Macaca fascicularis: one gene and its partners. The protein of the gene in region 1 purifies or fractionates together with the protein of each later gene. This does not show direct contact. Links are inferred from orthologs where the notes say so. Each region holds a gene or a part of one and is shown on either strand. Other genes may lie near its edges.

The links.
Region 2: the proteins of MTNR1A (region 1) and GNAI2 purify together in Homo sapiens (tandem affinity purification; 3 studies listed by BioGRID and IntAct, with this or other methods). This does not show direct contact. The link is inferred for Macaca fascicularis from reciprocal best matches to the Homo sapiens genes MTNR1A and GNAI2.
Region 3: the proteins of MTNR1A (region 1) and GNAI3 purify together in Homo sapiens (tandem affinity purification; 3 studies listed by BioGRID and IntAct, with this or other methods). This does not show direct contact. The link is inferred for Macaca fascicularis from reciprocal best matches to the Homo sapiens genes MTNR1A and GNAI3.

The regions. Positions count from the first base shown.
Region 1 is NC_088379.1:191,294,824-191,301,490, reverse strand, and holds the end of MTNR1A (melatonin receptor type 1A), read left to right. Parts: intron 1-2,434; coding exon 2,435-3,303; 3' UTR 3,304-4,242; downstream 4,243-6,667.
Region 2 is NC_088376.1:113,279,779-113,287,187, reverse strand, and holds part of GNAI2 (guanine nucleotide-binding protein G(i) subunit alpha-2), read right to left. Parts: intron 3,670-7,409; coding exon 3,627-3,669; intron 3,371-3,626; coding exon 3,229-3,370; intron 2,746-3,228; coding exon 2,585-2,745; intron 1-2,584. UniProt on the Homo sapiens protein: Guanine nucleotide-binding proteins (G proteins) are involved as modulators or transducers in various transmembrane signaling systems.
Region 3 is NC_088375.1:124,758,696-124,766,104, reverse strand, and holds part of GNAI3 (guanine nucleotide-binding protein G(i) subunit alpha-3), read left to right. Parts: intron 1-3,940; coding exon 3,941-4,098; intron 4,099-7,171; coding exon 7,172-7,300; intron 7,301-7,409. UniProt on the Homo sapiens protein: Heterotrimeric guanine nucleotide-binding proteins (G proteins) function as transducers downstream of G protein-coupled receptors (GPCRs) in numerous signaling cascades.

The DNA of each region.
Region 1 (6,667 bases):
CTTCTAAAGCATTAAACATTTTGAGCTAATAATTTATTAAAATATGCCTCTTAGGAATGGAGGTGTTTCAACACTAATTGAAAGTGATCTGTGGGAAAAATAAACTTGCCTTTGTAACTTTAATTTGGATGAATACAACCAATTTTTAAAGAATTTGCTTTTATGACAATATATCTGAAATTCCTAAATAAATGGCACAGATTTTACCTTTCTTTCATCATGACTGCTATGGGCTGTTTCATTTCAAATGTTGGGAAGTGACAGTTTAATGAACTCATCAAGTGTATGAGCAAAAGTCACTGTATTTATTGGGTGTGGTCTAGGACGCAAATATGAGGAAATGTACTCATATTTGCAAATATGAGGAAATGTACTCATATTTGCAAATATGAGGAAATGTACTCACGAGGGCCACTGTCTCGAGTCAGGCAGGGAAGCCTGGCTTACAGGTCAATAGAATAGAAGGCGAAATCTTCTGTCCCTCCACCTGGGGCTCCCTCCGTCCCTGTCTAGCGCACCCCTTTCCTCACTGCTTCTGGTTCGGTGTATGCTCTGGTGCTGCTGCTTACTCTAGTGTAATTTTCTCTTTCTTTTTTTTAATTTGAGACGGAGTTTTGCTCTTGTTGCCCAGGCTGGAGTACAATGGCGCAATCTCTGCTCACTGTAGCCTCCGCCTCCCGGGTTCAAGCAATTCTCCTGGCTCAGCCTCCCAAGTAGCTGGGATTACAGGCACCTGTCACCACGCCCAGCTAATTTTTGTATTTTTAGTAGAGACGGGGTTTCACCATGTTGGCGAGGCTGGTCCTGAACTCCTGACTTTTGATCCACCCACCTCGGCCCCGCAAAGTGCTGGGATTACAGGTGTGAGCCACCACTCCTGGCCACTCTAGTGTAATTTTTTTGGCTTTTCCTGTCTCTCAATTCCTGTTTCCCCAGCACCAAATATATGCATTTACTATGTAAACTGAATTGAATTTATTGTAATTTAACCTGAGTAAAAAGCAGTACAAAGTGGTTTAAGACCCTTCAAAGGAGGAGGCTCTTACCTCTAGGTGGACTCTTACCTCTAGGTGGGCAAACGAGCAAAGGCCTCGGCATTTCTATTTGAGATAGACTTGGGAGAACGGGTAACATTTAGAAAGTTGCTGTGAGGAGCCATTCGAGGCAGAAGGAATAGTAAGAAACAAAGGCAGAAGAGCCGCAGAAGGGAAAAACCATATTTGCAGAACATCTCATAAAATTTGACTAACGTAGCTGGGAGCAATGTATCACACCTGCCATCCCAGCACTTTGGGAGGCCGAGGTGGGTGGATGGCCTGAGCCCAGGAGTTCGAGACCAGCCTGGACAAAATGGCAAAACCCAATCTCTACAAAAATACAAAAACCAGCCTGGTATGGTGGTGTGCGCTTGTGGTCCCCACTATTTGGGAGGCTGAGGTGGGAGGATGAGCCCTGGAGGTGGAGGTTAGGGTGAGCCAAGATCAGATCATTGCACTCCAGACTGGGTGACAGAACAAGACTCGGTCTCAAAATAAATAAATAAATAAATAAATAAAAATAAAAAAGTGACCAGAGTTTTTTTTTTCTATAATTAAATATGTGTTGCTATGTTGAGAAAATTAATAGTTAGACTATTTAGGGTTTAAGTTTTGTAACATAAGTTCTTTATAAAATCTAGGAGAATTTCTGCATTTTCCTTTGGTTCAAGGTGAGGGAGTCGTAGAATAAGAACATTTCTCTGGTGTAAGACACGGTGCATGGCACTCGCCACAGATAGTCTCATGTCATGCTCACCGCAGCCCTAAGAGGAAGATGCTCATTATCCCATCATCTAGGAGAGGAGGCAGAAGCTTGGGGAGGTCAAGTAACGTGCCCCGGTTGGACAGTTGGTATGGATTGAAGCGGTGTTCTCATCCAGACGGCCGATGACACAGCCCTCTCGGTCGTAACTCCCGCGCTGTGGGATCAGCGAGAACAGAAGCTAGAGGCCCCTTGGGAGCTGCTGCAGGACTCCAGAGGGAATGAAGACTTGAACTTAAGGCAGTTGTGGCTGGCTTGAGACATAACATCATATGAGATTGCTCAGGTGATGTAGAAGGCTCTAGAACAACAGATGGAATGCAAGTATTCTGATCTCAGGACTTTTTAAGAAATGAGAAACTGAAGGGTTTGAAAGACAGTAGTTTTGAACAGGGAACAGGGAACAGGGGCTGTTCTGGGGAGGCGGGAACGTGTGAACAGTGGATTTGATATGTCACGAGTGGCAGTGGGCTGGCGTCCTGTGAAATGGCCTCCAGTTCATTTGCAGTGTGGCAGCAGCTGTGACGTCAGGTCATCAGAGCTGCAGGCAGAAGCAGCTCCTTCTTTAACAATTGTAACAGAAAACCCAGTGTGAACTGGTATTCACTGTATTTTCTAAACGTTTCTCTTTCAGGAAACATCTTTGTGGTGAGCTTAGCGGTGGCAGACCTGGTGGTGGCTGTTTATCCGTACCCGTTGGTGCTGACGTCGATATTTAACAATGGGTGGAACCTGGGGTATCTGCACTGCCAAATCAGTGGGTTCCTGATGGGCCTGAGCGTCATCGGCTCGATATTCAACATCACCGGCATTGCCATCAACCGCTACTGCTACATCTGCCACAGTCTCAAGTACGACAAACTGTACAGCAGCAAGAACTCCTTCTGCTATGTGCTCCTCATATGGCTCCTGACGCTGGTGGCTGTCCTGCCCAACCTCCGTGCCGGGACTCTCCAGTACGACCCGAGGATCTACTCGTGCACCTTCGCACAGTCCGTCAGCTCTGCCTACACCATCGCCGTGGTGGTTTTCCACTTCCTCGTCCCCATGATCATTGTCATCTTCTGTTACCTGAGAATATGGATCCTGGTTCTCCAGGTCAGACAAAGGGTGAAGCCTGACCGCAAACCCAGGCTGAAACCACAGGACTTCAGGAATTTTGTCACCATGTTTGTGGTTTTTGTCCTTTTTGCCATTTGCTGGGCTCCTCTGAACTTCATTGGCCTGGCCGTGGCTTCTGACCCCGCCAGCATGGTGCCTAGGATCCCAGAGTGGCTGTTTGTGGCGAGTTACTACATGGCCTATTTCAACAGCTGCCTCAATGCCATTATATACGGGCTACTGAACCAAAATTTCAGGAAGGAGTACAGAAGAATTATAGTCTCTCTGTGTACTGCCAGGATGTTCTTTGTGGATAGCTCTAACGACGTGGCCGATAGGGTTAAATGCAAGCCGTCTCCACTGACGACCAAAAACAATCTAGTAAAGGTGGACTCGGTTTAAAACGGCACCGCATTCCCCGCGAGATGCACACGCTACTCAAGGCCTCGCGCCTTTCCGTGTTGCCTTTCCTGTTGACAGAAAAGCCGGGTGGTGGAGGAACCTTCCAGCTTTACCTTTTTGCTGCCATAGTTTCTGAACTAATGTACTGTCAGCTTTGTAAACACCTCCAATTCTACCAGTCAAGAGAAGTACAGAATGTATAGAGTTACATGTTAACTGAGGAATGTGGTTCAGGGCTGGGGTGAGAGTGAGCTGCTGACTGCATTCAGGGGAAGGAGTGTGCAAACTTTTATTGTAAATGAGGGCCACAAAAGGGGTAATTTCATTCTTCGCTTTTTGAAGATTTCTAGCAGAAAAATGAATAGAGAATTTTATTTATAAATGAGCAAACGGAACAATTTTTTTTTTTTGTAAATGGAACAATGAAAGTGGGATGAGTGCCTCTTATTACAGAGGGAAAGGCTGAACATAAATCAGTTAATGGCTCATCAACAATCACAACCACAACCAACACCACAAACCTTTCAGTTGGCAGAGTTAGCATTGGGTAGCTACACTCATGGTCATAAATGTTTGCTGCTCTATACTACAAGTTGTGCATACAACCAGATAAAGAACTAAATTATAGGCTGGGCACAGTCGCTCACACCTGTAATCCCAGCCCTTTGGGAGGCTGAGACGGGCAGATCAGCTGAGCTCAGGAGTTCGAGACCACCCTGGGCAACATGATGAAATCCCATCTCTAATAAAATACAAAAAATTAGCCGGGTGTGGTGGTGCACGCCTGTAATCCCAGCTACTCAGGAGACTGAGGCAGGAGAATCCCTTGAGCCCTGGAGGCAGAGGTTGTGGTGAGCCGAGATCCTATCAGTGCATTCCAACTTGGGCTACAGAATGAGACTCCGCCTCAAAAAAAAAAAAAAAACTAAATTATATTACAGAGCTCTTATTCACATGTCAATTACCCTGGGACTTTAAAGTAGTAGCTATGTATACAATTTTATTTAAATGTACTAGACATTTGGCTTATTATTATTGTGTCACTGAGCAGCCGTTTTGAATTGATCTCTGTTAATTCATTAATTTGTCAAATGAGCTCAGTTAAAAATGACAAATGAGCTCAGTTAAAAATGACAAAAGATCAAGTTGCTGTAGACTTTTTGATATGGTGCTGAATCTGTTCTAGATTGACGCTTTAGTTGTGCAAGTAAATAACTGAAACCAGATAGCTTTTCTTTTATAGATACTGCAAAACAATGTTCTTCAATAATTCATTTTAGAATTTCACTGCCCTAATAGTACTGAAAGTCTGAGCGAAGAAAAAATGCATTGCAAAACTATGCTTTCATAAACTTTGGCGGAAGTTTACCCAAATGGTTATTTGAGACTACTCTGAGATATGTTATATCAAGTGTTTTGCTACAGATTATAACCATGTTTTCTTGTATTTTAAAAGTCTGTAGCAAAGCTGTCACATACTAGAATAAATTGCTGATTTGCAACTATATACGTAAGACAACAAGTTATCTGGATATATTTGCTAATGATTCTCTTCATTAAGCATATTTGGAAAACACCAAATTATGTTTGTCGTTGTTGGGGTGTGTGTGTGTGTGTGTGTGTGTGTGTGTAAGTTGTCTCCAAAACTTTACCCAAGTCATTTATGTGTAAAAGTTCTGAGTTCTTATCAAAATCAAATTTAAATAGTAAAGATAATATTTAGGCCAGGTTCCAAATTTCAGATAACCGAAACTTAAAAAATTAACCATGCTCAACTGAAGGCTTTTTGCAGTTTATTTTACACTCTTTTCTTGATGCTTGGTATGAATTACTATGTTGCGATATGATTCCTTTGTTCTTTATGGAATTTTATTTCTTTATTTCTATATTGTACTATATTTGAACTGTATGTCAGCAAACATAGTGAATAGAAAACTGTGCCCTTTAAAATATTGCCAAGAGTATCTCACCTGAAAATCAAGAATGTAAATTTAAAATATTGAAATGATTTTTCACTACCATCAGATAGTTAAAATATTGCCAATGGAACAGCAACTCAGAAAGATCAAAGTAGAGACCCTGGTTTCCCCTACTAGAATCCCATGTAGAAGTCTCATAATCATTCGAGGTATTTTCTCTGGTTCCTCACTGTGATATCAATAAGTAGAGCGTCCTTAGCTCTGTGTTTTTCCCTCTGGAAAAACTCAGATATGTAATCAGTTGTGCTTGATATTTTCAGTGTACAAATTATTTTGTAGTCTCTTTGGAAGATTATCTCTTTCAAGACCATTAGATTAGGACTTATCAAATGACTGTTGCACAGGACTAGTGGGTGCCTGGGTAGCATCGTGTAGTATCACTGGAGATGTGCTCCTTATTCAAGGAAGCGACTTTATCTCTTTCTTTTTTTCTTTTTGAAACAGAGCCTCGCTCTGTCACCAGACTGGAGTGCAGTGGTGCAATCTTGGCTCACTGCAACCTCTGCCTTCCGGGTTGAAGCAATTCTCCTGCCTCAGCCTCCCGAGTAGCTGGGACTACAGGTGTGTGCCACCATGCTCAGCTATTTTTTGTGTGTGTGTATTTTAGTAGAGATGGGGTTTTACCATGTTGGCCAGGATGGTCTCAATCTCTTGACCTTGGGATCCATCCACCTCGGCCTCCTGAAGTGCTGGGATTACAGGTGTGAGCCACCGCGCCCGGCCCGGAAGCAGCCTTTTTCATGAAATCTGCTAAGCTGTATTAAGGAGCTGTCGGCCTGTATTGAGGCAAGTATCTGCAGTCTGTCAGAATCACTTGTTTCCAGGGTAAAGAATATTTGCCAGTCTCCCCTCCGCCTATGGGAGTACTAGTGGTGATGTGAGGGTTGGCATAAAAGAGATAATGATATTTTCTGTGGCATATTTGCAAATTCTAGGATTATTTGCACTTGTCTATAGCTGGGATTTCACTGCCTAGGCTGGAGGCTTTGTGAGGCCAAAAATAGTACCTGTGTTATAACAGGGAAAAATGCCCCTTTTTAAAAGCACTCACTGGGATCTGAGGCTCTGGTTAGGCAAAGTCTATGCAAGGCCATTTGATGTGGAATAAAGATCAGCATCTATCATTGTCTTTTCTTCTATCAGTTACTGGAATGCTGTGCAATTATAAGCATTCCATAATTTAAGTACTTATACTAACATCCAGTTGGATTGCAAAGACAGAAACATTTGACCATTCTAATTTACATAAATTATTTTAATATTATCACCGGAGAGCTTGCTTCAATTGTATTCTCCTATGGAAAATCTAAACCATATGGGATTATCTTTTTTGCCTTTAGTGAATGTAACTTTTAAACATATATTGTTGTATTTTTCTTATACCT
Region 2 (7,409 bases), on another chromosome or scaffold:
GGGCCTACCAGGCCCAGTGGACTCTTTGCCCAGTACCCAATGAAATCTGGGCTCCTCAGGGGGAGGGCACAGACACCTGCTTGGCCAGGGTCCCAGGGGCTCCTCATTACCAGGTTCCCTTAATTAGTATCAAGGCTACCCCTGCAGGGTCCTACCTCTGCTGCCTGCCTCAATATCCCTGCCATGCCCTGGAGGCTGGTCCGAGGCCTCCAGGCTGCTGCCCAGAGCCGATTTCTCATTCCTGGGGCAAGGCGGCTGGGGCCGGCCCTTGGCTCCCACCAGCAACCAGGCCAAACCAGGCCAGAGGGAAATGATCTCAGAGTAGCAGGGACAAAACAGAAAAACAGGAAGGGCCATGGGGAACCATGACACATGTGCTGTGACCCGCATACCACGCACCGCCCCCTACTGACAGAGCCCTCAATGTGGAGGCACCATGGTGCATTCCACACCAGCCTCTCCCTTTTCCCCAACAGGTGGGTTCACCCCAGGGACCCCCTGCCTCACTGCAATCTTGGAGGGTTGCTGTGATGAGGGGCTGGAGGAGCCCTGCTTCCTGTGGTGTTCCAATCCGCAACTCATCCCTGGGGGGAACTGTCAAGGCATAAACCTGCCTGGGAGAGCAGAGCCTGTGTTCACTCCCAAAACTGTGCTGGGCACACAGTGGGTGCCTAATGTCTGAAGAATGAAGAAAGAGAATGATGGAGAAGCGGGAGGTGGCCTGGAGCTGGCTCTATCCCTGCTCCCTTTGAGTATCATGGGCACCAAGGTCCCTGCTGCTCTGAGCGCCAAGCTCGCTGGTGGCTGGGCCAGAGATCTCAGGGAGGGGCAGTGGTGAGGCCTGGGGCCCCCACAGCATTTAACTGTGACTGCATAGCTCCTGTAGGGGGTACGTATTCACAAGAGCATTCAGGCCATGTAAGGAGGGTAGGAGGAGGCTGTTCATGTGGCTGGCACAGGGCTCAGGACCCTCCTCCTCCCACCTACCCTTGCTGAAATCCACCCTCTGGGTGGGCTCAGGATTGGATTAACAATAGGAGCAAAAGGGTGTTCCAGACAGAGGGGATTGGCTTAAGCAGAGATCAGGGAAGACTAGAGAACAGGGACAGCAGCCTATCTGGTGACACCATCCAAAGCCTGTGGATGTCCCCTGCAGCCATCCTCAATGGCTATCAGCCTGTCTGTCCTGTTCCCCGTGGGTTCCTCAGCACCCTCCACCAGTCCGAGTACATGACAGATACCACAGCGAAGGAGTTCAGAACTGTGGAAAGGGTGCAGACCTGTCATGCCTCTGGGATTCCTGGGACCCCTTGTAATTCCTCAGCTGAGTCCTGGGTTCAGCCCAGAGCCAGCGAGGGTCAGAGGTGAGGTCCAGGGGCTCCGACCTACACACACACCTGTCACCTCCCAGATAACTTCTTCCCCTGTGGCCCCCACCAGCCAGCCTCCACAGCCTATGTTCAAGCACAGCCAGCTCTCCACCACCCCGAGGATGCTGCACATGCTATGCCCCTGCCTGGAATCCCCTCATCCACTCCTCCCCTGGTTGACTCTCCTTCAGAGCTCAGCAATCCTGCCTCTGGGTCAACCCCACCTCAACCTTTTCACTAACATCCTAAATTGTCACTGCATGGGGACTTTGCTCCACTCATCACTGTGTCCTTGAAGCCTTGCACAGGGCCTGGCACAGAACAGGTGGCAGCAAATTTTTTTTTTTTTTTTGAGATGGAGTCTCGCTCTGTCACCCAGGTTGGAGTGCAGTGGCACTATCTTGGCTCACTGCAAGCTCCGCCTCCCGGGTTCACGCCATTCTCCTGCCTCAGCCTCCCGAGAAGCTGGGACTACAGGCGTCCACCACCACGCCCCGCTAATTTTTTTTTTCTTGTATTTTTAGTAGAGACGGGGTTTCACCATGTTTGCCAGGATGGTCTCGATCTCCTGACCTCGTGATCCACCCGCCTTGGCCTCCCAAAGTGCTGGGATTACAGGCATGAGCCACCGCGCCCGGCCTTCTTTTTGTTTTTTTGAGATGGAATCTCACTCTGTTGCCTAGATTGGAGTGCAGTGGCATGATCTCCACTCACTGCAAGCTCCGCCTCCTGGGTTCACGCCATTCTCCTGCCTCAGCCTCCCAAGTAGCTAGAACTACAGGCACCTGCAACCACGCCCAGCTAATTTTTTGTACTTTTAGTAGAGACGGGGTTTCACCATGTTAGCCAGGATGGTCTCGATCTCCTGACCTCATGATCCGCCCACCTCGGCCTCCCAAAGTGCTGGGATTACAGGTGTGAGCCACCGCGCCCGGCTGCAAATGTTCTTTAGAAGAGTGTATGTCAAGACAGATCAGACTCAACTGGAAGAGATGTACTGTATAAGCCACCTGCCTGTCATTCCTCCTGGTCGTTCAATAACGTGTCACCCACCTACCCCCCAAACCAAAAAACACCAAGGCCTTGGTTAACGGTCTTCGGTTTCATGAGCAAAGACCAGCAGTGTCCTTCTGGGGGTTCTCAGGCCCTCCAGTCCAGCCTTTAGTCCTCCCCCAGCCCCTGCCCTGCCCAGCCCAGCCCCTCAGAGCACTCACTAGGCGGCTGAGTCGTTGAGCTGGTATTCCCTTGAGCGGCCAAAGCAGGCCTGCACACCATGGTCAGCCCAGAGCCTCCGGATGACGCCGGACAGGTCATCGGGGAGCACGCCTTGCTCCTCAGCGGTGCAGGACAGTGCAAATAGCTGCCTGGCGTCGTCCTGGGCACAGCGGCGGGTGGTCAGGCAGTTGAAGGAATATACCCCCACCCTGCCAGAGGCAGGGAAACCTCTGGAATGGGGCCCAGGCTAGGGTATTCTTGGATTCCCTAGGATGAGACTTGCCCTAAAACCTTTTTTTTTTCTTTTTTCTGCAATGGAGTCTAGCTCTGTCACCAAGTCTAGAATGCAGTGGGGCGGTCTTGGCTCACTGCATCCTCCACTTTCTGGGTTCAAGCGATTCTCCTGCTTCAGCCTCCCAAGTAGCTGGGACTACAGGCACGTGCCACCATGCTCGGCTAATTTTTGTATTTTCGGCAGAGATGGGGTTTCACCATGTTGGCCAGGCTGGTCTTGAACTCCTGACCTCAGGTGATCCACCTGCCTCAGCCTCCCAAAGTGCTGGGATTACAGGCATAAGCCACCACACCCAGCCACCCTGAAACCTTTTGGGAGGTGGGAGAGGGTGGGGCGGAGGGCACATACCGCTCTGGAGGGGTCGGCAAAGTCGATCTGCAGATTGCCCATGGCTTTGACAATGGCCATGATGGACTGGATGGTGTTGCTGTAAACAACCGCCCGGTACTGCCGGCATTCCTCCTCGGAGTAGCCATCCTCGTGGATGATCCTGATAGCCAGGAACCAGGAAGGTTAGTGTCCCCAGGGCACTGGGAGTTCCCACAGCTGCCTGGGGCTGCTGGGACCTGCTTCAGAGAAGAAAAAACTGCCCCTGACCCACTGGGACCTGAGGATAAGTGACTGCCTCTGAGAAGGTTCTGGGCCTGGCTAAGACTGGCTGGGCCTGTAGTCGGGGGCAGTACAGGCCCAGAGGATGAAGAGGGGAAGCTGGAGTTTGGGCACTGCCTCTGGGATACAGCACTTACTTCATCTGCTTGACGATGGTGCTCTTCCCTGACTCCCCAGCACCTGGAACAGAGGGCACAGGTGGTCAGGGGGCAGGCCCAGAGGGGCTCCACAGGCACAGAACAAATGCCCAGACACCTGTAGCCCAGGAGGCAGAACTAACCATCCTACCAGCTACACTGTGAGATGGAGGCAGCTGGGCCTGGTGGGCAGTTGAGCTATCAGGAATGCAGCTGGCAGGGCCACAGTGGTCAAGGTAACCTAGAGCACCTGTGCCCCATGGCAGACTCTCTGCAGGCCTTTGCCTCCCACAAGCTCTGCTGCCCACCATGGCTCCCCATTGTCCTGGTTGAGTTCAGGGGTCTTGGCTGGAGACTTGGCCAGACCTGAAGGAGTCAACCTGTTCTCACATACATAGGCTCACCAACCTGTGCAGCTGGTGCATGCCAATATGGTACCCTGGGCAGAGCTGGCAGGAAGATGCCCTGCATACTCCATCCAACAGGGTAGCAGCCCTTCTTCTCCCCACACTCTGAGCCTTAGCAATCAGGGCCCTAAGCAGGAGCACAGCGTCACACTTCAGCTTTCTGGACGTGGCCCAATGCCCCGCCCTCTGCTCACGGCACCCAGGTCTGCCCTGAGCAGATGGAGGCTAGAAGGCTAGAATCTGGGAGACCTACAGTTTAACACAGAAACGTACTGACTCATGAATCTGGGAGACCTGCGATGTATTTCACACACCCACACCCACACACGCCCATACTGACTCAAGCTTTTCCCTGGCCTGGTACACCCCTGGCCCATATTTCTCCTTAGCTGGTACTGAGATTTGCTGCATTCTCTCGTGTTAGTCACAGAAGATATTGTTTCTGTTCCCATTCTACAGACAAGGACATTGAGGCTCAGAAAAATAAAATATTGATCTAAGATAATGTAGCCAGGACTCAGAAGGGCAAGAGGGTGGAGGGAACCCATGATGCCAGGTCCACCCTGCCATTCTCAAAATGTGGCTAAGACCCTGCAGGACAATGCCCTGGGGAGGTGTTTAAAAGAGCAGATTCCACCGGCGTGGTGGCTCACGCCTGTAATCCCAGCACTTTGGGAGGCCGAGGCAGGTGGATCACCTGAAGTCAGTAGTTCGAAACCAGCCTGGCCAACATGTCAAAACCCCATCTCTACTAAAAATAACAAAAACTAGCTGGGCATGGTGGCGGGTGCCTGTAATCCCAGAGGCTCGGGAGGATGAGGCAGAAGAATCGCTTGAACCTGGGAGGTGGAGATTGCAGTGAGTCGAGATCATGCCATTGCACTCCAGCCTCGGCAACAAGAGCGAAACTTGGTCTTAAAAAAAAAAAAAAGCAAACTCCCAGGTCCCATCCCAGATAACAGCCAGATCTTGAGGAGTGCAGCCCAGGAGCCTGTATTACCCAGGGAGTCTGTGTGAAGAAGGACCAGGAGGGCCACCCAACTCCCTGGCTAGGGGCCAGAGGGAGTGGAGGCAAGGCCTCACCTTGACCTTGCTCCCTTGCTGCTGGCTGTCTTGAGCTCCAGGTCGAATGGCCCCCAGCTGGGCCCTGCTGTTCTTCCCAGACCCCTCTGCTCCTGCTCCATCACTGCCAGTCAGACCTGCAGCTGCCAGGTACTACCTGTAGCCACCTCCAGCACCCTGCTCATGCTGTTCTCTTTGCTGGGAATATGTGCCCCATGCCCCATTCACAGTGTTTCAGTTCTGATCACTGTGGCACGTCTGTTCCTCTGTACAGCTTAGCTGGGTGGCCAGTGCAGTCTGTGCAGAGGTCAAACTTGGGGACTCAGGCCAACCTTACCAGTATCCCTCGGGGCTGGTCAAAACTACCTCAGAAGAATGAAGGTGCTAACACACAAACAAACACAAGCAGTAACAATAACATCGGCAATATTGACAGCAAAGCTATATGAAAACAGCGCCCACCATGTGCCGGATGCTGTTCTACATCAATGACACCCACCAACTGCCACCTCCACAGCAATCCTGGGAGGTGGGTTCCATTCTCACCCTGCTCTAACCAATGAAGGAACTGAGGTCCAGGGAGGCTGAAGTCACAGGTTAGAGTCCCCTCTGCAGGGAGCGCATTTGTCCACCATGCAGTCCCTCCTAGAACTGTCCTGAGTACCTGGTACTGCAGCGGAGCCACACAGTCCACCTGGCACTGGGTTCACTCCCTGTCTCCCCAGGCAGACTCTGGGCCATGTGCGCAGTGCTCAACAAGCAGCAGCAGGCATTGGGATATGGTGGCAGGCCGTGCCAAGGCCCCTGCCCACCTTCAGCCCCCTACGCCAGAGACCACCCTGAGGGGAAGGGCCTGAACCCTCCTCACAAATGCCACCAGGTGTCTGCAATCACTGAGCTTCTGACTGTCCCAGGCCTGCTTTCCAGGATGAGGGGAGGGGATGTGGGGAGATGGGGAGTGACAGCTAGTTGGGTAAGAGGTTTCTTTTTGAGGGTGGTGATTATATTCTGGAATTAGATAGCAGTGATGGTTGCACAACCTTGTGGACATACAAATGTGCAGGCCCTGGGCAGGCTGGGGCAGCAATCCCCTCTATTGCTTTAGCCCCTGGGCACTACAGGTGCCAGGCCCACTATCTTCACTGGGGTGTATACCAGAGTATATACTAGCACCACTCCCTCCCCATTGGGCTGTGCATGGCAGAGGGGCAGCCAGGATCTCCATACTAACACTCCTCCGCCTGCCAATGGGGATACAGGGAAAGGTCCCAGGAAAGCCTCACAGTGATGCCCCATCACCAAGGCCCATCCCCCTGGGGCTCAAAGCACCCACTGGGGCAGGGAAGGCAGCAGTAGCCACCTGACTATCCTCCTCACTGGCTCCTCCAGAGCAGGAGGAAGAACCAGGAGCCAGTCACAGCCAGGATGGGGGGAACTGAAGGAGCAGAGGCCAAGGATGCCAAGTCATGAGTCTCCATGCAGTCCCCAATGAGGCAAGCCGAGACTCAGCAGGGAAGCTACCCAGGGGATGGGGGACCTGAGGTCTAGGGTGAAAGCTGCCCCCTCTTGTGTGACTTCAGGACTCCTGCCCACTTGAGGCATTAGTTTCCCTATCTGGCCACTGGGAGTGAAGAGGGGGTCTGGCCCTTTGAACACTCTTAGTAGGTGATGTGGGCCGCTTTGTGACCCTGCCGAGGGGCAGTGATGAGGGTACAAACTTGCTTTGCATCTGATTTTCCTAGCAGCAGCTAGACCTGGTAGACATGAGGTAGGCAGCACAGAGCCAGTCATGCTAGGAGCCAGGATATCTGCTCCCTGCCCCAGCCCTGAGAGGGCCCACTTCCCTGTCCCCCTCGAGTTTCAGTTTCCCCTCCTAAGGCCTCTTAAATGTTAAGAGAACATTCTCTACCCCTAGCAGGGGTCACTGAAAAAGACCTCCACTTGACAGGTAAGCAAATCAAGGTCATGGAGCCTCTATCCCTAGACTCAGGCTGGTCTCTTTGTCTTTCCAGCAGCTGTGACTCAGGCGGGAAGTAGTGAGTGGCAGGACAAGGGCGTGGTGCTGGCAGTCAGGCAGGAAGCAGGGGGAACAATGGGACAGAGGCAGGGGCACAGCCCAGGAGCAGCTCCAGCAAAGAAGGGGGCCAGGAGCAGAGGTGGGTGGAGTATGGCATCTGGATGGAATGGGTGGGGTGAAGAGCTCTTGGGCAGCCCACAGGCTAAGTGCTCTGGCAGCTGAGGCAGTAGCCTCACTCTCCACATCTCTGGCTGGGTCCTCTTTCCATCAGGACCTGATGGATATCCCCTACCAGAT
Region 3 (7,409 bases), on another chromosome or scaffold:
ATTCCTTCTCTCACCTCGTGCTTTTCTTTCCTTCTTTTCCTCTTTTTCTTCTTCATACCAGCTCTATCTGTGGTCTTATTTTCTTTTTCCCATTTCTCATTTCTCCCTGTTACCTAACTCTACTTCTCTGTTGTATTTGTTGTATCTGATAACAGGTCAGTAGTACTGTTATTTATTCTCTTCCCTCTCTCTGTTGGCTTTTTCTCCATCTCAGTTATTGATTCTTTTAGTTTGTCCCTTTTCTCTTTCCCTCTTTAATTTTATTCCCCACTGTCTGTCTTCCTTTATTTATCTCCCTACCCTTTCATTTCTTTTTTTTTTTTTTTTTTTTGAGACGGACTCTCGCCCTGTCACCCAGGCTGGAGTGCAATGGCACAATCTCGGCTCACTGCAACCTCCGCCTCCCGAGTTCAAGTGATTCTCCTGCCTCAGCCTCCCGAGTATCTGAGATTACAGGCGTGCGCCTCCACGTCCAGCTAATTATTGTATTTTTAGTAGAGATGGAGTTTCACCATGTTGGGCAGCCTGGTCTCGAACTCCTGACCTCGTAATCTGCCTGCTTCAGCCTCCCAAAGTGCTGGGATTACAGGCGTGAGCCACAGCGCCCGGCCTCGTTTCTTTCTGTTATCAAATAATTGTCATTAATCTTTGGGTCCTAACACTCCTGTGTCACCAGATGCAGTTGACGTCATTAATCCCTGTCAGGCCTCCTAAATCATCCAGCTTTCTGGTGTCCACATAACCTAATCTGTAATCCTATATTATAATTTTTAAATGTTTCTTTTTTTTTTCCTTCTGTGTGTAAGGTTTAATGTTTATAGCTCCTCTCTTATTGTCCTCTAGTGTTTTTGTTTGTTTGTTTGTTTGTTTTTTGAGACAGAGTTTTGCTCTTGTCACCCAGGCTGGAGTATAATGGCACGATCCTGGCTCACTGCAACCTCTGCCTCCTGGGTTCAAGCGATTCTCCTACCTCAGCCTCCCGAGTAGCTGGGATTACAGGCACCCGCCACTATGCCTGGCTAATTTTTGTATTTTTAGTAGAGACGGGGTTTCATCATGTTGACCAGGCTGGTCTTGAATTCCTGACCTCAGGTGATCCACTTGCCTCGTCCTCCCCAAGTGCTGGGATTACAGGCGTGATTCACTGTTCCCGGCCTCTACTCTAGTTTTTTATAGTTGGTTAGAGAGTGTGAATGGAAAAAAAGAAATAGAGCTGGGTGTGGAATAGGTTACTTTTTCACATCTGCTTAAGTGTGGGGGTGTAAAATTTATTATTAAGAGAGGCCTCTTCTCTTTTTTTTTTTTTTTTTTGAGACAGAGTTTCACTCTTGTTGCCCAGGCTGGGGTGCAATGGTGTGACCTCGGCTCTCTGCAACCTCTGCCTCCTGGGTTCAAGCGATTCTCCTGCCTCAGCCTCCTGAGTAGCTGGGATTACAGGCATACACCACCATGCCCGCCTAATTTTTTTGTATTTTTAGTAGAGACGGGGGTTTCTCCATGTTGGTCAGGCTGGTCTCGAACTCCTGACTTCAGGTGATCCATCTGCCTCGGCTGCCCAAAGTATTGGGATTACAGGCGTGAGCCACCATGCCTGGCCAAGAGGGACCTCTTTATAGACCTTTAGAGAGGGTTTATTGTGGGGAAGCAAGAGCAGGTCAGTGGAAGAAATTAAGTGATAAGAAAAAAGTGTTTCCTCCTAAAAGAATATTTATAGAGTCAGGACAGCAAAAAAAGTAGTAATAATTCCCTCTCTTTTGAAGTTTCTCAAATTAGAATTGTATTTTGTTTTTTTTTTTTTTAAGTAATGCTTAATAAGATGATTTGAATATGTGCGTGAGTATAGGTCAAATTTCAGAACCAAGGGATTATAAAGACTTCAAATGTTAAAGCACCATACCTTGCATGTGTAGAAGGACATGCTCACTGTTGAGTATGTTTGCCAATTTGTCTAATATTTCAACTTTTCTCTTTCATTTGTTTAAAATTTTATCTTTGAAAAGAAAGGGAGGGGCATATAGATGTCAGCTAAGGTTTCTTTTCTTTTTTTTTTTTTTTTTTTTTGAGATGGAGTTTTGCTTTGTCGCCCGGGCTAGAGTGCAGTGGCACCATCTCAGCTCACTGCAACCTCTACCTCCTGGGTTCAAGCAGTTCTCCTGCCTCAGTCTCCCGAGTAGCTGGGACTACAGGCACACCCACCACGCCCAGCTAATTTTTGTAGTTTTAGTAGAGACAGGGTTTCACCATGTTGGCCAGGATGGTCTCAATCCCTTGACCTCATGATCTGCCTGCCTCGGCCTCCCAAAGTGCTGAGATTACAGGCATGAGCCACCGCGCCCAGCCAGCTAAGTTTTCTTAGAGTTGAGCCTAGTCTACCGCCATGCCACCCTGAATGCGCCTGATCTCAGAAGCTAAATGACAGTGGGTTGAGCCTAAATATTACTAGAAAGAATACAGGAAAGGATCATAAAGGAGGAAATATTACTAGGTAAAAACCATTAGAGCTGGAGACCCAGAGTTTGGCAACAATAATTTGAATGCACTTTGGATGGTTTTCTTTTGGTAAGGTGGATGCACAAGTTCTGGTAATTCACGAGTCTTTGGAGTTTTTGGTTGTGAGTTCACCTGTGGTCTGAAATGACTTTTGTTTGTTAGTTTACTTGTCCTGATGACTACTTAAGATACAAATGATTGCTCCCTTTTCTCCTTTACTTTTTCTTTACATGTTATATACTTTTTAAATGTTTTATTTTTGTAGTTATTTGGAATCTCTCAAGGTAGATAAATATTAGATGTGGTTGGGAAAATCATCCTGTGAGACCTGTGTTTATTTTTAAACAACAAGTAGGGATGGATAGAATAAAGCAAAACAATAAAAATCTCATAATCCATTTCTGTCCTGTCTGTCACATATTTTATGTTTAAAAACTATAACAACCTAGAAAACTATGGCTATGTCTAGGCCCGGTGGCTCATGCCTGTAATCCCAGCACTTTGGGAGGCTGAAGCAAGTGGATCACCTGAGGTCAGGTGTTCGAGACCAGCCTAGCCAACATGGTGAAACCCCATCTCTACTAAAAATAGAAAAATTAGCTGGATGTGGTGGCAGACGCCTGTAATCCCAGCTACTTGGGAGGCTGAGGCAGGAGAATCACTAGAACCCAGGAGGTGGAGGTTGCAATGAGCAGAGATCACACCATTGCACTCCAGCCTGAGTGGCAAGAGCGAAACTCCATCTCAAAAAAAAAAAAAAAACTGTGGCTATGACTCATGAAGTTTTGGTTACTTTCTTTTCCTCCTGCTGCCTTCCTTTCCCTCTCTCAGAACATTATTATTATTCCTTTAGGGAAATCTAGGGACTGTTTGAATCTTTCCCTGAGGGATTTATTTCCCGCATTAGACTTCTAGACTCCTTAAGTGCCTCCATCTCCTCTCCTTGTTCTGCTCTCTGGGCTGAAGGCAAAGAAGATAATACTTTTTCTTAAACTTGATTAATGTTTTACTCCCTTTGAGGTGTTTAGACTTTAACTCTTATGTGCTAGTCTTTTTATTTCTATTTTTATTGTAGGCTTCCTTTAATAGAACGGGAATGTTTTACATAAGCCTGTCTCATAAACCAGTTTTTTTCTCTCAAAAATTATTAGCAATCTGGATGGAGATTTGTGGGCTGGCCAGAAATGATCTTTTCTGGGGATGGTGATGTGTGGAGGAGTGGTGGGGAAGTAAAATCATTTCTCAGCTCAGTTCTGGACTTAAAATGGTAGTGGAATGAGAATGAGGAAAGACTTAATTATAAATTCTGTCATGCTGGCCTGTCAGAAAAGGTCTCTGTAACAACACCTGTTTTAACATAACATGTAATGTGTGTATATTTTAAAGAGACTGTCATCAAGGCTGAAGGAAATGGAGAGTCATCTGTCTCTTTCTTAACTGCTTTCTTCAGGATGATGCCCGACAATTATTTGTTTTAGCTGGCAGTGCTGAAGAAGGAGTCATGACTCCAGAACTAGCAGGAGTGATTAAACGGTTATGGCGAGATGGTGGGGTACAAGCTTGCTTCAGCAGATCCAGGGAATATCAGCTCAATGATTCTGCTTCATAGTAAGTAATTTTTCTCCATGAAACTATAACAGAGAATAACTTGGTGACACTAGAGAAAGTTTAGTGCCCATCCTTAAGGAAATGTTTAAGTAATAGACACTCTTAGAAGTTTATAGGATGCTTTATAAAAATTGTCTAAGTTTAGGATTATAGAGCCCTTGGTCATTTGTATGATTTGGAGGAAAAAGTTCCCTCTTGGAATGTAAATGGGAGACTTGGCACCACTAAATTAGTTCCATGGCATTTTATTATAAGCAAGTGAAGGAGGAGAGACATCTATTGTGGCTGGGTTCTGAATCTGTTCCAACTCATAAGTTCTGTGTAAGAGCTTGGCACTGATAGCCAGCTAGAAAGGGAAATTAGAATTGTGGTATTCCTTTTTATGCAGCCAGCTCTCTGTGTCTGGGCTGCACCGTGGATTTCACTAATAAATATTTTGCCAGATCACAATAGTAGACTTTGTATAGAAAGAGGTTGAGTCATGGAATGAAGTTGAAGTATCTTTTTTGTCAAGGATATTATCTTGAGTGTTAACATAGTTTTAGAGAATTTGTAATGAATACTTATATAAAGCTATTACATGTTATCCCATTTTACCTCTTTTACATATACTTATTTATAAAACCTAGATTCAGAATTTTTTTTTTTTTTTGAGACGGAGTCTCGCTTTGTCGCCCAGGCTGGAGTGCAGTGGCGCGATCTCCGCTCACTGCATGCTCCACCTCCCACGTTCACACCATTCTCCTGCCTCAGCCTCCTGAGTAGCTGGGACTACAGGCGCCCGCCATGACACCTGGCTAATTTTTTGTATTTGTAGTAGAGACGGGGTTTCACTGTGTTAGTCAGGATGGTCTCGATCTCCTGACCTCGTGATCCACCCATCTCGGCCTCCCAAAGTGCTTGGATTATAGGAGTGAGCCACCGTGCCCAGCCCAGAATGTATTTTTTTAAATGTACTTTTGCGGGGCCTGGTGAGCACTTGTTATCTGTATTTCTCTTTGTACTTTTAAGCATTAGGGTTTTTTCTCCAATATTATTGTTTTCCTACTTTTCACATCATCATTCTAGCTTAAATTGTTACAAGAAGAAATTAAATGATATAGTCAGGCTGTGCATAAGGACAGGGATACATTCTGAAACATGCATCATTAGGTGATTTGTCATTGTGTGAACATCATAGACTATGCATACACAGAATTAGATGGTATAGCCTACTACACACCTAAGCTTTGTGGTATATCCTGTTGCCCCTAGACTGTGAACCTGTACAGCATGTTATTGTACTAAATACTGTAGGCAATTGTAACGTAATGGTAAGTATTTGTATATCTCAACATCTCTAAACATATAAAAGGGTAATAGGGCCCATGATGTCACTAGGGACTAGGAGTGTTTCAGCTCCATTATAATCTTACAGGATCACTAGCATACATTTATGGAGTCTGTTGTTGACCAAAACATTGTTATGCAGCGCATGACTGTATTTGAAAACTTTCTTATTCTTTCAGTGAGAACTTGACTTTAGAAACGTTTCAGGATTCTTGCCTACCTTTTAATAACATATTTTAGTTGCAGGTATTGAGAGCTTAAATAATTCTACCAGTGGTCAACAAAAGTAGATTATAATTGCTTTTTTCATCATTCATTCAGAAAGCTCTGAATCCTCTAACTACATGTGCTTACATTATAGAGATTTTCATAACAGTTGATCTAAGTTTGCCTCTTTACATTAGTGATAGTATTTGGTTTTATAGATCATTAATGATTCACTTATATTGGTGCCATCTGCTCATCAGTTTTCTAGCCTGAAATCAGCAAAGAATATAGTTTTGAAGCAGTCTTTTAATTATTTCCCTGAACAAATTAATTTTTTTTGGAGGTATTTACAATTTGTTTTTGGTTTAGATTTAAAAAACCCCCAAACCTCCCCAACTCTTCTGTTTATTGAAAGAAAACGGAAAATATTCTTACTCACTATAGTTCTCTTAATTTTAATAAATTAAACACCATTCTCTAATGTCCTGTCAAATGGTTAAACACACATGACCTATTAAGTTTAATTGTCTGAGGACTTTTGGTATAATTTGGTTTTGGTATTATACAGTATGCAGTTAATTTAGTATTACATTTCAGGAATTTTTCTTTACTAAAAACATTTCCTGTTCCTATTGTTTTAATTTTTTAAATTGGCCTTCACAGTTTAATTCTGTAGAATTAAACCTACTTTTGTGTCTGGGCACGTTGGCTCACGCCTGTAATCCCAGCACTTTGGGAGACCAAGGCAGGCGAATCACCTGAGGTCAGGAGTTTGAGACCAGCCTGGCCAACATGGTGAAAACCCATCTCTACTAAAAATACAAAAAATTAGCTGGGCGTAGTGGTGAGCATCTGTAATCCCAGCTGTTCAGGAGGCTGAAGCAGGAGAATCACTTGAACCTGGAAGATGGAGGTTACAGTGAGCCGAGATCACACCACTGCATTGCAGCCCGGGTGACAGAGTGAGACTCTGTCTCAAAAAAAAAACAACAAAAAGAAAAGAAAAGAAAACAAAAACCTACTTTTGTTAATGTATATAGACTCTATACTTTAATTGTCCTATGTTGGATTCGTATTTTTTCTTATTATTTATTTCTTTTTTTTAAGAGACGGGGATCTCACTCTGTCACTCAGGCTGGAGTACAGTGGCACCCTGCAGCCTTGACCTCTTGGGTTCAAGTGATCCTCCTGCTTCACTCAAGGGTAGGAGGATTAGCTAGGACTATAGGCGTGCACCACCATGCTTAGTTAATTTTTAAAATATTTTGTAAAGACAGGGGTCTCTTTATGTTGCCCAGGCTGGTCTTGAACTCCTGGCCTCAAGTGATCTTCCTGCCTTGGCCTCCCAAAGTGTTGGGATTACAGTCATGAGCCACCATGCCTGGCTTCTTATCTTTTCTATGATACTGAAGATCTGATTCTGTTTTGCCACTCTAGTAACTAGTAACAGGTTTAGAATAGGAACTAATTTAGTCTGTTGATTTGCTATGCACATGGTTGGCTTCACCAAGTAAAAGTAAGTGTGTCTTTTATTTAGTTATCTAAATGATCTGGATAGAATATCCCAGTCTAACTACATTCCAACTCAGCAAGATGTTCTTCGGACGAGAGTGAAGACCACAGGCATTGTAGAAACGCATTTCACCTTCAAAGACCTATACTTCAAGTAAGTCATTAGCCTTTTTGCTAGGTGTGCCAAATACAAGTATCTTTTGTTTTAGTTTACCATCTCTTAATCAGGGCAAAATTCCTCTGGGCAGTATTCCTTGGTTTAG